Caenorhabditis elegans: one gene and its partner. The protein of the gene in region 2 interacts with the protein of the main gene of each other region in a pairwise test. Each region holds a gene or a part of one and is shown on either strand. Other genes may lie near its edges.

Region 1 (5,510 bases), on a different chromosome or scaffold from region 2:
TAGTAAGAGTGAAAAAGTGACGGACACGACCTGGAAAAGAGGATTTCTTTACAATGTAGGTTAATAAATGTTAAAAATCAGAAGTAAATCAGATTGTAATTTATTGATTTCTGGCGTTTCCAAATTTTCGGGTCTCTCAAGTTCAAAGCGGCACAAGAAAAGTTTGAGCCAAAGTGTTCCAAGAGTTTGATCAAACTTGGGACAAAATCTGGCGCAGCCTAAATCCAGGTCTTGTCAAAATCTTGCCCAACTTTCGCCGAAGTTTTGCCAATTTCTCATCAACGTTAATAGTTTTGGGCAAAACGTGGGCAAGAAGCTAGAGCCAAATACCGAATAATTCGATGAAAAAGGTGTCCAATGTGCTATTATTGAAAAAGGTGTCCAATGTGCTTCGCGATGTGCTATTATTCACTTTGAAAAATGCAAGAATTTTGCAATGCACCGCACATTAACTTTCAGATACATCCCATCTAAACAGTCTTAACTTCGCTGGCACTTTTTGGCAACCTGAAGAATTCTTACCGTAATATGTCCTTTGACTCCATTGTGGCTTCGATATATCTGGACGAGTCTTTAGATTGCTGACAAGCTCACTCATTTTAATCAAATGAGAACTAATAAATGAATTGTTCTGTGGTTTTGTAACGTTTTTTTTGTTTCTTTATTTTTAATTTGTTAGACCGTGATTTACGTGGCACTTATGTATATATTTTTAATTGTCTCATATCCAAATTTTATAATTTTTCAGAATTGAAAAACTGAAATATAAACTTCTGAAAAAAAAGAGTTCCTCTCTCCCGTTTTCAAACGGAAATTGTGAGTCAGAAGTTTTGGTTTCAGAGAAGGCAAGAGGAAAAAGTACAGCAGCGAATTGTTTAGGAAACTCTTTGATTATTCATCATTTGTCAGAAAAATTGTGAAAATAGAAGGAAGAGAAAATGAACTGAAAGTTTCAAAAATTTTCTGGCTTCATCCGGCAGTTTTTTTTTGCAGCAAACATTTTTTGAATTTTTTTGAAATAATTTTTAAAGCATTTTTAGTGCTCTAGATTATTTTAGGATAAAAACCCATCAACTTAAATATAAAAAAATAGTCTTTTTATCCGAAAATAATTTTTGTTTTACTTGAAACAACTGCAAAAGTGCCGAGCAATACGAAAATTGCTTGAAAAACCAGAGAATTTATCGGAAAAAATTTCCGGCAATTTTTGTGCACTTTTTCAGATGTTCCAAGTCAAATAAAAATAATTTTCAAATAAAGCAAAATAAATTTTCCGAAATACGGTAGCTTTAAAAAGTTACAATATTCTTAAAGTCCCCACCCAAACCTTCTTTATTAAAATCTCCCCATCACCTTTTTGCAATATATTGCAAAATCCAACAGCTATGCATTTGAATCCAAACAGCAGTCTCCGCAGCCTCTCCCTCTCTTTCCTTCCCCCTTCCACCACCCAATTCCCCAGTCCGTCAGTACACGTATGTCTGTACACTCTTCATCTTGCACACTCTCTCAGTCCCCACTCACTGCCTGCATCGCAGCACTGCTTGTCCTTCGATCGATGACCGCCTGCTGACTGCTGTTGACTGCCCGCATGCTGCTGCCTGCTGGCTGAATTATCTCATCACTATAGGCCACTTATGCTCAGTTTTTTTTCTTTGTTTCTAGAAATTCATTACCGTAGGATTTTAGTAGGAAATTATTTGAGTTTTTTTCAACCTGATTTTTCGCCGAGAATTTAGGAAAATTTGGAAAGAAAGGGAGGATTTTTTTCAAGGTTTTTTTCCTCATATTTCTCCGAATTCTTCCGTGACTTTTAAGATATTGTAACTAATTTTTTTCTCAGAATGGATCCAAAATTTCTCGTAGTAGAAATAGACTCAAAGGAGCGAGCACTTCAGTTGGTTCAAGTTATGGTGGGTTTTTCTAGTGAAAAATAACTAAATTGGAAAAAAAAAAGTTTCAGCTAGAAAATGGATTTGCTCGATTCATGCTGTTGGACGATCTTTCGCGACACCCGACTCTCGACAGAATCCAGAGAGAAGAGCCAAGAATTTCAAGAGATGAACTCCGTGAAACAGCTTCATCTCCTGTCACATTTGAAACTCGACATTCTCCATATCCAGTGCATGAGCAAAAGTAGGTGGTTTTTTTTTAAATATTTTTTATTTAAAAAATGGAAATTTTTGAGATCAAACCTTATATTTCACAAACAATTCAGAAAAATTCACTCTTAAAAGAACCAATAAAAAAGGTTTTATTTTGTCGAAAACTTCTCTTTCGCCAAAAAAAAAATTTCCGAAGCCTCACCTTCTGCCTTTATTTGCTGTATATTCTCTACTAGTCTTTCAAAAAGTTATATCTCGGTTCATTTCAAAGATATCAATAAATAATCAACAGCAAATCTATAGAAAAACATTTAACAAATATTTTGTCAGTCGAAAGTTTTTCAATAAAACAAACGACAACTGAGTTATCAAATTTATCAGTTGGTTGAAATACTATTAGAGGAAATACGGTATAATACTTAGCAGAAAAGTTTTTACAAATAAAATTTGCGACTTTAAGTTCATCAAATTTTCAGAGTTCTATTTCCATCGTTTTCACAAGTTTCGAATTCAATGGTGACATCTACGGGCATCCGACAGGAAGCTTCAAGTGTTGGTGTTGGACCGATTGAAGACGACGATATTGTTGAGGAGGAGGAGGAAGAGGATATTCGACTTACTAGCAAGCCGTGAGTTTATCTACTTTAATAAATCTACTGGACATTCGAGAAATTAAAAAAAAAAGATTTCAGGTGTGTCAAACGCCGTTATGATCATCACGCCGAGGAACAGGAGTATAGAGATCAACTGATGAGCTTGTTGAGTGGAGAACCGGAAATTGTGCCTATAGGTGTCAACTCGGTTAGTAGTTTTTTCTATATTCCAAGACTCACAATTCCTCATTTTCAGAACGACGAACCATCTGGCTCCAACTCGGATTCTGCCGCGAAAAAGGCCAAATCCGTCGGCGACTACCATGAATGTCAGCTCTGTGGAGTTCGAGTCAAAACGCCTAGAAGCGGTCGATGGAATCTCCAAATGCATGTGATTGCTCTTCATTGTGTTGGAAGACAATATAAATGCAAGCAGTGTGATTACTTGGACTATCGAAAATCAACGATGAGAAAACATACGGTTTCGCAGCATGGAAGTGACATTCCGCCGCATAATATTACGTGAGTTTTGGAGTTTTTTCAAATCAAAATTTCAAATATAAATATTTTAAAACAATACCTAAACATCCCCATGCTGCTAGAATCAATACAATTTATTTTAAAAAGGCTTTGAAATATTAATTGAAATGAAATTATTTGTGAACAATTTTTGTAGAAGTTTCAAATTTAAAAAATCATATTTTTCCAGGGACAACATAATGAAAGCTGAATGGCATGCTGCAATGATAAAATGTTTCCCTGAATTTGCTCACAGAACTGGGTTCTTAAACTGATTCATCGCTCTCATCGCCAAATTATTTATTTTTTGATACCATTCCAATTTATTATATTCCTGATAAAAAGTGACAATTTGATAATTATATTGCAGTTATAAAGCGGTTAGATATACATACATCACCAATTAGATCAGCTTAACCTTAGTGAAACCCTCAAGTTCATGAATCGCCTTTTCAATGTCTTCTACTAAAATTGTGTTCCATCCGAGCTTTTCTGCAGCTTCAATGTTTTCATGGAGGTCATCCAAAAACACAATTTCCTCTGGTTTGACTCCGAGTCTTTTCTCAACTAAATGATAAAATCGAGCGTCTGGTTTCATGAGATGCTCCAAACAAGATTCTACAACTTCATCGAAATGTGTCAAATCGCATGGAAGTCTGGTTTCCTTGTGCTCCTGAAAATCATTGAACAAATTTTCAATATTGATAGGAACTCGATTACCTTATCTAAGAACATGTTGTTTGTCAGCATGGCGGTTTTGAAGCCCTTCTTGTGAAGAATTTCCACGGTTTTTTGCATATTTTTGTGCTGAAAATGCTAGGTTCAGGGCAAAGTTTAGAAACATTTTAAGCTTACAATTTTAACATTTTCTCCACGAAGGCACTCGGTGAATGGTTTTATCACAACGTTGTCAGTCAGCTTGTTTCCATACTGAAAGTTTAAAAAGTAAGAAAAAATTTCAAAAACTTTGTTTTGAAAATAAGGAAATTCATGAAACTTGCAATAAATTTGAATTTCAAACTTCCTAAAAATGTAGGAACGATGTTTCAGCTGTATCTTTCTGAAATTTTTTCCAAAAAATAAAGTCGATGGAACGTTCAAGTTTTTTTATAAAAATTGATGGATGTTCAGATTTAAATTCTCCAAAAAATCTTGGGGGAAATTTACATGTATTTTTCGAAAAAAATTGAAATTTCAAAACTTCAGAAAAATTTGGCGCATGTACCAATATGCATATTTTTTTGTGAAAAAATTTAGAACTTGACTCACAAGAAAATTTGCGAGAATTTCAAAATTCAATATTTCAACAGAAATTTTTTTCCCGAGATTCACATTGTAAACTTTTTTAAAAATTTAGGGAACAAAGCAGGAATATCAAAATTCCAGTGTTCAAAAAAAATTCGACGGGAAAATTCAAAATATAATTTTTAAAAAACATTTTTGGCCAAAAAAGTGTTTTACAAAAGTCAAAATTCATTTTTTAAGAGACGCTTAAAAATTCAAAATTGATTAAACCTCGCCTACCTTATGCTTCAAATACTGCAAAAAGAGACCTCCTTCCAAATCGTCGACAGTCAATGTACCCAAGAAAAGACTTCTATCGGGTCCCAACCACTGCGAAAACTCAATTCCGACAGATTCACTGTGTACAGCATCATCAGGAAGTCCAAGTGATCTTGACATGGCAACCCATTTCTCCATAACACCTTCATAAGAGAGTAAAACTCCTCCGAAATCGTAGACAACTGCTTTAATTTGCTGGGTCATAGTCATTTTGAAACTGAAATTGATTTATTATTTTAGGAGAAAAATATTTTAAAAAAACAATTCAAATGAAACGAAAAGTCTTGAAACTGAATACTAAAACAAAAAATGACATCAAAACTGAACGAGTTGGTCTTTAAGCATATTCGGAAGCAGGCAGACGCAGACAAAACGTGCGTTGTCGCTGACTAGATGAGTGTACTTTCATCACTAGAAAATATAAAATACGCCACCGTCGATAATATCAGTTACATATATATCAGCAGAAAACACGAAAATGAACGAAAAAGAGAGAAAAGTTAAAACGGGTTTTGTTCCGATGAACTCTCAAAGATGGTGGGGCAAAGAACAAAATGCTAGTGTGGAGGTCCCCAGGCCCCCATGAAATGTCTTTTTCTTCTCTTTTTTTCTCTTTTCCTCTTCACTATTTCCCTCGCTGGAACTGAACGTTAAGAAATATAAACCTTTGGAGTTTTTAATTCAAAAAAAAAAGGTCAAAACCAAAATGTTCAAAAAGTCAACAAAGATC
Region 2 (8,133 bases):
CTGGTGGTCCCATTTGCCAGTTCATTGGAGAAGGTTCAGGTAGATGTGAATAGTTGATTTTTGGTACATTGGATGAATATTCCTTTTTTTCGCTTGAATTATTAATTTTTTCTTCTGACTTCTTATTTTCTACATTTTTCTTTGGTTTTGATGGACGAGAATCCTGAAAGAAAGACTAAAAAATTGTTGGAAAATATCTCCATTACAAACCGTAGATGAACTATTTTCATTCTCCGAATCCCCCGAATCCTCCGAATCTTTTTCAGATTTTATGACATTTTTGAAAAACCAAGTCGCTTGTTTTCCGTCACCGGCTTGGAACAATTTTCGGTGCTTGATCAATACATCGACTTTAGATTCACTGGTAACAATTTTTTTGCTAATTGCAATAGTTCCCAGGAATCTATCCTCGACAGATTGTCCTTGAACGTGTCCAGCCGGAAATTGAAAGTTTCTGATTTTCACTTGTGGTCCGTTGCCGGCCCATGTTACAGAGTAATTTTCGATTTTTTCAATTTTTTCGAAATGTTTCACATTGAATCTCGGTGTATCTGCAGTTGGATTTGATGGAAAGTATTTTACGAAATCTTTTTTCGTAAACCGAATTTCAACCCAATCACCAATTTGTAGTTGACTCTTTTCGATTATTCCGTCGGTTCCTGGATATGTGAGGTTGCAAGTAACGAAAACTGCGTTATTTCGTTGATTTTTTCCAGTAACAACTCCGATAATATATTTTGTGTATTCTTCTTTCGATTTTGCTTCAGATTTTTTTGCATTCGATTTATTCTCTTTTCTTTCAGTTAGAACACCCGCCGTTTTGGAGATCACTTCTATTTTTCCATCCGATAATCCTTGCCAAACGAACTTCGAGTATAGACCGATACGTTGTTCCTCTGGCAATCTGAATAAAAAAATCAAAAGTATATTAAAGTACGACACAATACTATCAAGATGCGAGATATTCATCAAAAATACGGCTAATGGTCCCGACAGGACAAATTTCTGTTAAATGCGAAAAGTTGTGCGCCTTTAAAAAGTACTGTAGTTTCGAACTTTCGCCGCTGCAAAACTTTTGCCGATTTTTCGATAAAAAATATAAGAAATCCGAGAGAAAAACCTTGAAAAATCGATGAAAATTTCAACGCTTGGATCCTACAGTACTTTTTAAAGGCGCACACCTTTCGAATTTAGAAAAAACTTTTTCGTGTCAAGACCGGGAACTGTATTTTTTGACGCAAAAAATCGAAAAATCTCACATCTGAGTGATACAAAAATCTTACCTAGACACAATAATATTATGGTTTGTTCCAGCCTCTCCTGGAGCCTGGCCTTTACAAGCAACATCTCCAAATTCTTTCGTTTTATAAAATGGAGCAAGTCCACTAGTTAGAACTCCTGTGTCACCGGATACCTGAATAAATAATTAATAAAAACAAATATTTAAGAAAATTAAGCTTTTACTAACCTCAACAGTATCTGTTCTCACTTCAGTTTTTAAAGACCTGAACGCATCTTCCACTTTTGAATAAGAAATCGGAATATTATTCTCAACATTGATTTGGCAAAAGTCTCCCAGAAAGATCATGTGGATGTTCAGAATATCTTCGTTAACATCGAACTCGATTCCATCTGTTGGACTGAAAGTTGAAAATATTTATTAAACCTAATTCGAGAAAATATTATTTTATTTAGAAAAAATAGCAAACTCACGAGACTACGGCGACTTTCCCATTTGATTTTCGTTGTGCGGCTAATCCGAGCATTATTTATGACTAAAATATATTAACGGTCAATGTTTCAAGACGGGAAACTTTGTAATAGAAAACAGGACATCTGGGGGCGTTTTTTAATCAATCGGCAATTAAATAAAGTGAAAAATGTTTTGCTTCACTAAACAAAATTCTTTCTGGCCTCTCAATGCTCTCAAGAAGATACAACTTTCCGGTGGAAACGGATGGTACATATGAACAGAGATACAAAGTTTAATAAGAAACTGGGAAACTTTTATAAAATACAACAAATACGGGGCGCGATTAATGCGCAAGTTGGACAGAAACCGTGAAAAACTCGGCACCCGGCAAGTTATAAAGAACACGTTTTCAGGTAGGGAGATCTGTCTCAATATGATTAAATAACATGCAAAACAGAAGAAAAAGTTAGTAGTCATCATAATTATTCATCTGAAGGTGGCGTGAGACTTTTCAGCGGAGGAGACGTCGATGATTTTTCAGAACCGGAGGATCCTTTTTTCGAGTCTGAAATTAATTTTTTGTTTATTTATAGTAGCTAATATAGATAATTGTTTACCAGTTGATAAAGCTGCTGAACTCGAAAATTGCTTTGAGGCTATGAACGATCTGTTGAAAGCATTGTGAGGATTGTAGTATTCCGTTATAATAAACGGATTGCTCTGAGCAGAATCAATAATCCATTGATATTTGTGAGTCTATAATAATATTAATATAAAACTTTATTATCTTTATAAAAAAAATTCAACTTACCGGGCTTTCCGTTTGCGTCACTTGAATTTTCTTTCGAAGAATAACCACACAATATATGGCTCCTGGCTGTAATAATTAATTTTATGTTTCGAACGAAACGACTTTATCTTACAATGGGATTTTTGATAATTCCATCAGCATCGAAAATTATCGGAAAGTTTTTGGAAGTGTATGTGTTTCTGTTTAACATGTCCTTTGATTTGTAAGACACTTGTTCCTCTATCTGAAAATGAACCGAATTAAAGTTATCATAATTTCTGAAAACATACAAACAACTGAAACAGATCGATGCGACAATTGAATGGTGAAAGTTTCTTTGTTCCAGATATCCATTTCCATCGAAATTGCAGATGAGCCGTTTCCTCTTTCTTCTGGATCAGCTTCACATACGCATAGTCACCAACATTCAACTCAAAATCATCGAAAATGAAGTGAACTGAATATATTCAATGTGTTCAAATAATTTTTTTTCTGAAAAGTTATACCACTGGAGTTATAATTATCAAAGAACCATAAGATTCCGGTTTTCGCATGAGCCATAATCTTTTCGACGAGCGCATGACCTTCCTGAAAAAAGCAAAAAATTAATTTCGAAAAAAAATATAGGCCTAGAGCGAACCAATGATTCTCCGGTATATGACGAGAATTTCTTCGGTTTCGGTTGGTACTTCCGAAGTTGTGTGGAATTATATGCTGTTTGAATTTGAATGTTGTTTCCCATGTAATAATCTCGACGCTGCTCCTGATAATGGGGATTTTGATGGGGCTGTTGATACTTCAATGTAGTCACTCCAGTATTGTTTGTAATAGTTCCTGAATTAGAGGCTGTAAATGAGACATCATTATTGGAAATAAGCCATGGAATCTTAACTAGGTCTTGAATAACATTGCTTCTAATTCATGTGATGAATCGAATTTCACATGAAATCTGTCAAATTTACTTACGCTTTTCTATAGGAATGATGTGAGAAGTCTCCATGGCGTCTCGTTGGGAAATTGCCTCGATTCGCACGCTCTGCGAATTTTCCACCATATTTTCAGCGCCGCTCACAATGAGCGAATAGATTACTCTCCAGCAAACTCCACTCATTCTACGGATTCTCGATGATGTCTTCTCCAGGACTATCTGCATGAACGCTCCCGAAATTAAAGACGATTTTTTATCGATGACAGGTCCAAACATTTGTAATTCGAACAACATCGGATGATCGGTGCTTTTCACCAAAATACATGAAATCATGACCTAAAAAAAATAAAATAATTAAAATACATTTAGGATAGATTTTTCTCACTCGAACAATTTTACCACATTGAACAACACCGACGCCACACGGACTGTTGATGGGTAAATATTCTTGAATGCTCAATCGATATCCAGATCTCGTGCTCATATACTTATCCAAATCTTTTGACTGCACATCAAATTGGATCCATTGGCCTACTAGCGGAGACAACATTGGACTGTCTACTTCTCTATGTTTTGGTGGCTGCGGAAATTTCGCCGTATGATCTGCTTCCAAGGAAACCTGTGGTGACCAACAATAAAGATAATTTTTTTGTGGGAACACTTCTGTTACGAATCCGGCGTGACGAGCGATAGAGTTAGACGGCAAAGGGGGTGATTCATTCTGAAAAAGTTTTAATACTTTAATTTTGAAATTTCTAATTAATCGAATGTGTGTTAAACCTCTTTGTTGTGTCTTTCACGAATGAACTCAGCAATTTCTCTGAGATCTTTGTCACTGAACTCGCCATCGGTCTGAGCTTTTCCATCAACCACCGACATTATCCAACTGCAACCGCGTAATGATCCTCCACAATACTGAACTATGAAGGAAACGTTATCTCTATTGTCCTCTAAGTACTGCCGATAAGCGCTGGATCCGAGCACACGGCCAAATCCAGGAATCATGTACAGCTCCGCCGTGAGATGAGGATCGCGCTGAAAATTTAGTTATTTAAAAATGGAATTATGACCTTGCACTAACTTCGAAATATGACATGTTGCTATATGGATTCACAAGCGGGACGACCACTTCACTATACAAAACCGTCTGAAAGTTTTGCCGTCAATTGAGCGAAACAGTTCACGTCCAACCTTTTCATGACAAAGTTCTGAAGCCTTTCGTTTCATAAATACAGTTCCATATGATACACTCATCTCGTAAGCTTTGAGAATCAAAGGCCATGGTGAACATGAAGCAACCGTCGCGTCAGGATATAAACCAACAATCATCCAAGTGCCCAATGTGAAATTCTGAAATAAAAATTAGAGAACTCGTTTATTCAACTTCACTTACTGAGAATATCGGTGAATTTGATCTTGGAAAAGAGACTTCTACACAGGAAGTGAACACCCAAACTCCAATTTCTGTTGTTGTGTTTCGAACGACAACTCCTAATGTATTGATGATTGTTGTCACTTTCCTTACTCTCGGTTGTGGTGGCGGTTCGTTAGATCGATCACTTTGTGTGGCAAAAGTAACCACACACGGTTTTTCTTTGCCCTTCGGTAAAGAGGGAACTTTTGTTCCCGACATTATCTGAAAAAAAACGATAATTTTAGCACAAATCTGAAAATTTAAAACAAAATATGGGTTTTTAAATAGTTTTCGCACATTTTTTTGCAATTTAATTGATAAAAAACCATTTATAAATCAACCTATTCGCGTTTCAGCGAAAGGAAACAAATGAAAATTGAGAAAATAGGTCACAAAAATTAGACTGCTCGCGGTGAGGGTCTCACAGCGAAGCAATTCAAATTACAATTCATGCCATGCGCCTTTGAAACTACAGTAACCATTAAATGCATTCAAAGCGCTTTAAAAATTGTAATTTATTTAAATAATTTTAAAATTCAAATCTAAGCAGTAATAAATTTTGAAAATTGATAAAGTTTAAAAAATTAACTAGAAAACCATAATTTTAGCTTAAAATCGGAAAATTTACAACAAAATGCGGGTTTTCAAAAAGTTTTCGCATAATTTTTCGCAATTTGAATTAGTAATACAATTTTAAAATTCAATTTTTGCAGTTTCAGCGAAAACAAACCAACAAAAATGAAGAAATTATGTCACAAAAAAGATTTCTCGCGGTGAAGGTATCGCAGCGAAAAAGTTAAATTTTAAAATTATGTCATGCGCCTTTAAAACTACAGTAACCTGTAAATGCATTCAAACTACTTTCAAAAAACATGTTTTTCTTTAAATTTAATATTAAATTCCATTTTCTAGTAATAATTTTTTTAAATTTAAATTCTAATAGTATATTTTTTTAGCGGAAAAAAAAACTAATATGAGTAGATATATATATATATATACCAGCCGATGACCGCGCCTCCGGCGCGGCCAACGACTGGCGGAGTTTAAAATGTATAACACATAGATGTCCTTTTAATCATTCAAAAATATATCATTAAAAAAGTTGAAACTTCATCGATTAAATCGCATTTTCTTCTTCCATGGTATTCGATTCAGAAAATTCAAAGAGACAGTTAGAATGTTCTGATTTTTCTACACTCAAAATTATAAAACTGCGTTGCGTGTACGCCAAAATAGTCCCCGCCTTTTTCTCGTTCACTCACGGGGAAAAGGCAAAAAGCGGTACCCCAGGTAATATCAGCATCATTCGAGGTCCGCGCACCACACTATTTTTCTCACTGTTGGGGTGGCGAGCTGTCCCCCTCCCCCGAAAAAATTCCACAGAGTTACAGTTTTTTCAATAAGTTAATAACTTTCCTTAACTGGAGAAGTCTGAATAATTAACTACTAATAGTAAGTTCTTTGAATATAGATGTGACGAAACAAATAAAAACTCCTACAGTTATAGGAGGTTGTAGAGCATTTCAGAACTTTTTTGAATTTTCCAGATGATTCTAGAACATTCTAGAATTTTCTTGAAACTTCCAGAAGGTGCTGAAACAAAAATTGATTCCAGAACCAAAATTGGAATTTCCCGCCAAATGTTTTCCTCAGAAAATTTGAATTTCCCGTCAAAATCTTTTTCTCAGAAAATTTGAATTTCCCGCCAAAATTTTTCTTGGAAATTTGAATTCCCGCCAAAATTTCTTTTCTCATAAATTTTGAAGTTCTCGCCCATATTTTTAAGGGTCCCACCACGATGGGTCTCGCCAGTTCGAGGTGGTACTTAAGCTAACAAAAAGTTTCTCAGAAAATTTGAATTTCCCGCCAAAAATTTTTTCTCAGAAATTTTGAGTTTTCGGTCAAAATTTATGGGTCTCACCACGAATGTTCCAGAATTTTTTTCGAATTTTCCAGAAGGTTCTGGAACTTTCCAGAAGGTTCTGGAACTTTCCAGAAAGTTCTGGAACATTCCAGAATTTTCTCGAATTTTCCAGAAGTTCTAGAACATTATAGAATTTTCTGGAATTTTCCAGATGATTCCAAAACCAAAATTGAAATTCCCGCCAAAATCTTTTTCTCAGAAAATTTGAATTTCCCTCCAAAAATTTTTTTACTGAAAATTTGAATTTCCTGCTAAAATTTTTTTCACTGAAAATTTGAATTTCCCGCCAAAATTTTTTTCACTGAAAATTTGAATTTCCCGCCAAAATTTTTTTCACTTAAAATTTGAATTTCCCGCCAACATTTTGGGTCTCACCACGAAGGGTATCACCACGATGGGTCTCACCACGAAGGGTCTCACCACGATGGGTCTCACCACGAAGGGTGCCACGCCCACTATTCTCACTGAAATTCGGGCGTGACGTCACAGACTACAAAGACTACATAGACTACAAACTCCGGACAGACGAACTGTATTTTTTTTATATATAGTTAATGATATATATATGCATGCAATGGGCAGAAATATAGAATTTGGTAAATCAACGTCAGCATTAAAAACTGAATAAAAATTGTGAATACGTTTATGATAGATTGAAACGCACGTTTTATGCTTTGGATGCATGAGGACGGAAGAGTATTTCAAATATCTGAAAAATAATAATTAAAATTATTTCTATCATGTTTCAATAGATATTTCGTGATAATAATTTGTTGAAAAATGTAGATTAATAGTGCTAAAAATTGAAACTTAGGCTTAATCTTATGACCACAATTCTTTATTTCCAATTCCCACTACTCTCGCGCATTGTGTCCGCAACTTCGCTCCACAGAACGTGGTAACACTAAATACTGAACACACGAAATATAATAATTCACATATACCAACGTACAACTTGAAATGTGATATTTATATTCAGAAGGCTAGATCATCTTGTCTGAAAGTTATCTAAATCCACACAAAGAAATAGAAGGTAAGTCGAAAATCTACTACTCAACATTTTTATAAAAATATCGATTTTTTCGTATCCACACTCTTCCTCAGAGTCACGTGACTTTGAAAAGGATATTCAAGGTTTTGAAACTGCAAAGCTCAAACTTTTCCCATCTAATATCTCTCGATTTCATTGTCGCAAGAATACCACGTCTTCCTTCTTCCAATATGATTTATGGCCGTGGTCACAGAAAATTCTCGGGTACCTCTCTTTTCTAGGACCTTTCTTTCAAACAGCCGGCTGCGTTTACACATGAGATGGTTAGGAGAGGTTTCTAGGCTATCCAGGAAAGCAAAAAAACGCCTCTCACTCACTAGTCAGGATTAGGAT

What was found. The genes of interacting proteins can lie anywhere in the genome.
Region 1: the proteins of B0001.7 (region 2) and lir-3 interact in a two-hybrid assay, tested with the Caenorhabditis elegans proteins (one large-scale study listed by BioGRID).

Annotation. Positions count from the first base shown.
Region 1 is NC_003280.10:11,181,141-11,186,650, reverse strand, and holds lir-3 (Transcription factor lir-3), read left to right. Parts: upstream 1-1,843; 5' UTR 1,844-1,844; coding exon 1,845-1,913; intron 1,914-1,963; coding exon 1,964-2,136; intron 2,137-2,581; coding exon 2,582-2,734; intron 2,735-2,797; coding exon 2,798-2,906; intron 2,907-2,954; coding exon 2,955-3,220; intron 3,221-3,407; coding exon 3,408-3,492; 3' UTR 3,493-3,576; downstream 3,577-5,510. Other genes in the region: sfxn-1.2 (Sidoreflexin), read right to left, coding at 1-30, 523-598; bigr-1 (HAD family phosphatase), read right to left, coding at 3,621-3,890, 3,938-4,024, 4,073-4,147, 4,742-4,990. UniProt on the Caenorhabditis elegans protein: Positively regulates the RNA polymerase III-associated transcription of small non-coding RNAs.
Region 2 is NC_003282.8:12,149,199-12,157,331, forward strand, and holds B0001.7 (Movement protein), read right to left. Parts: upstream 5,048-8,133; 5' UTR 5,045-5,047; coding exon 4,805-5,044; intron 4,762-4,804; coding exon 4,603-4,761; intron 4,559-4,602; coding exon 4,493-4,558; intron 4,447-4,492; coding exon 4,192-4,446; intron 4,133-4,191; coding exon 3,797-4,132; intron 3,748-3,796; coding exon 3,450-3,747; intron 3,330-3,449; coding exon 3,124-3,329; intron 3,072-3,123; coding exon 2,990-3,071; intron 2,941-2,989; coding exon 2,774-2,940; intron 2,728-2,773; coding exon 2,617-2,727; intron 2,571-2,616; coding exon 2,505-2,570; intron 2,450-2,504; coding exon 2,311-2,449; intron 2,259-2,310; coding exon 2,176-2,258; 3' UTR 1,994-2,175; downstream 1-1,993. Other genes in the region: B0001.2 (uncharacterized protein), read right to left, coding at 1-163, 211-904, 1,284-1,414, 1,469-1,640, 1,714-1,766.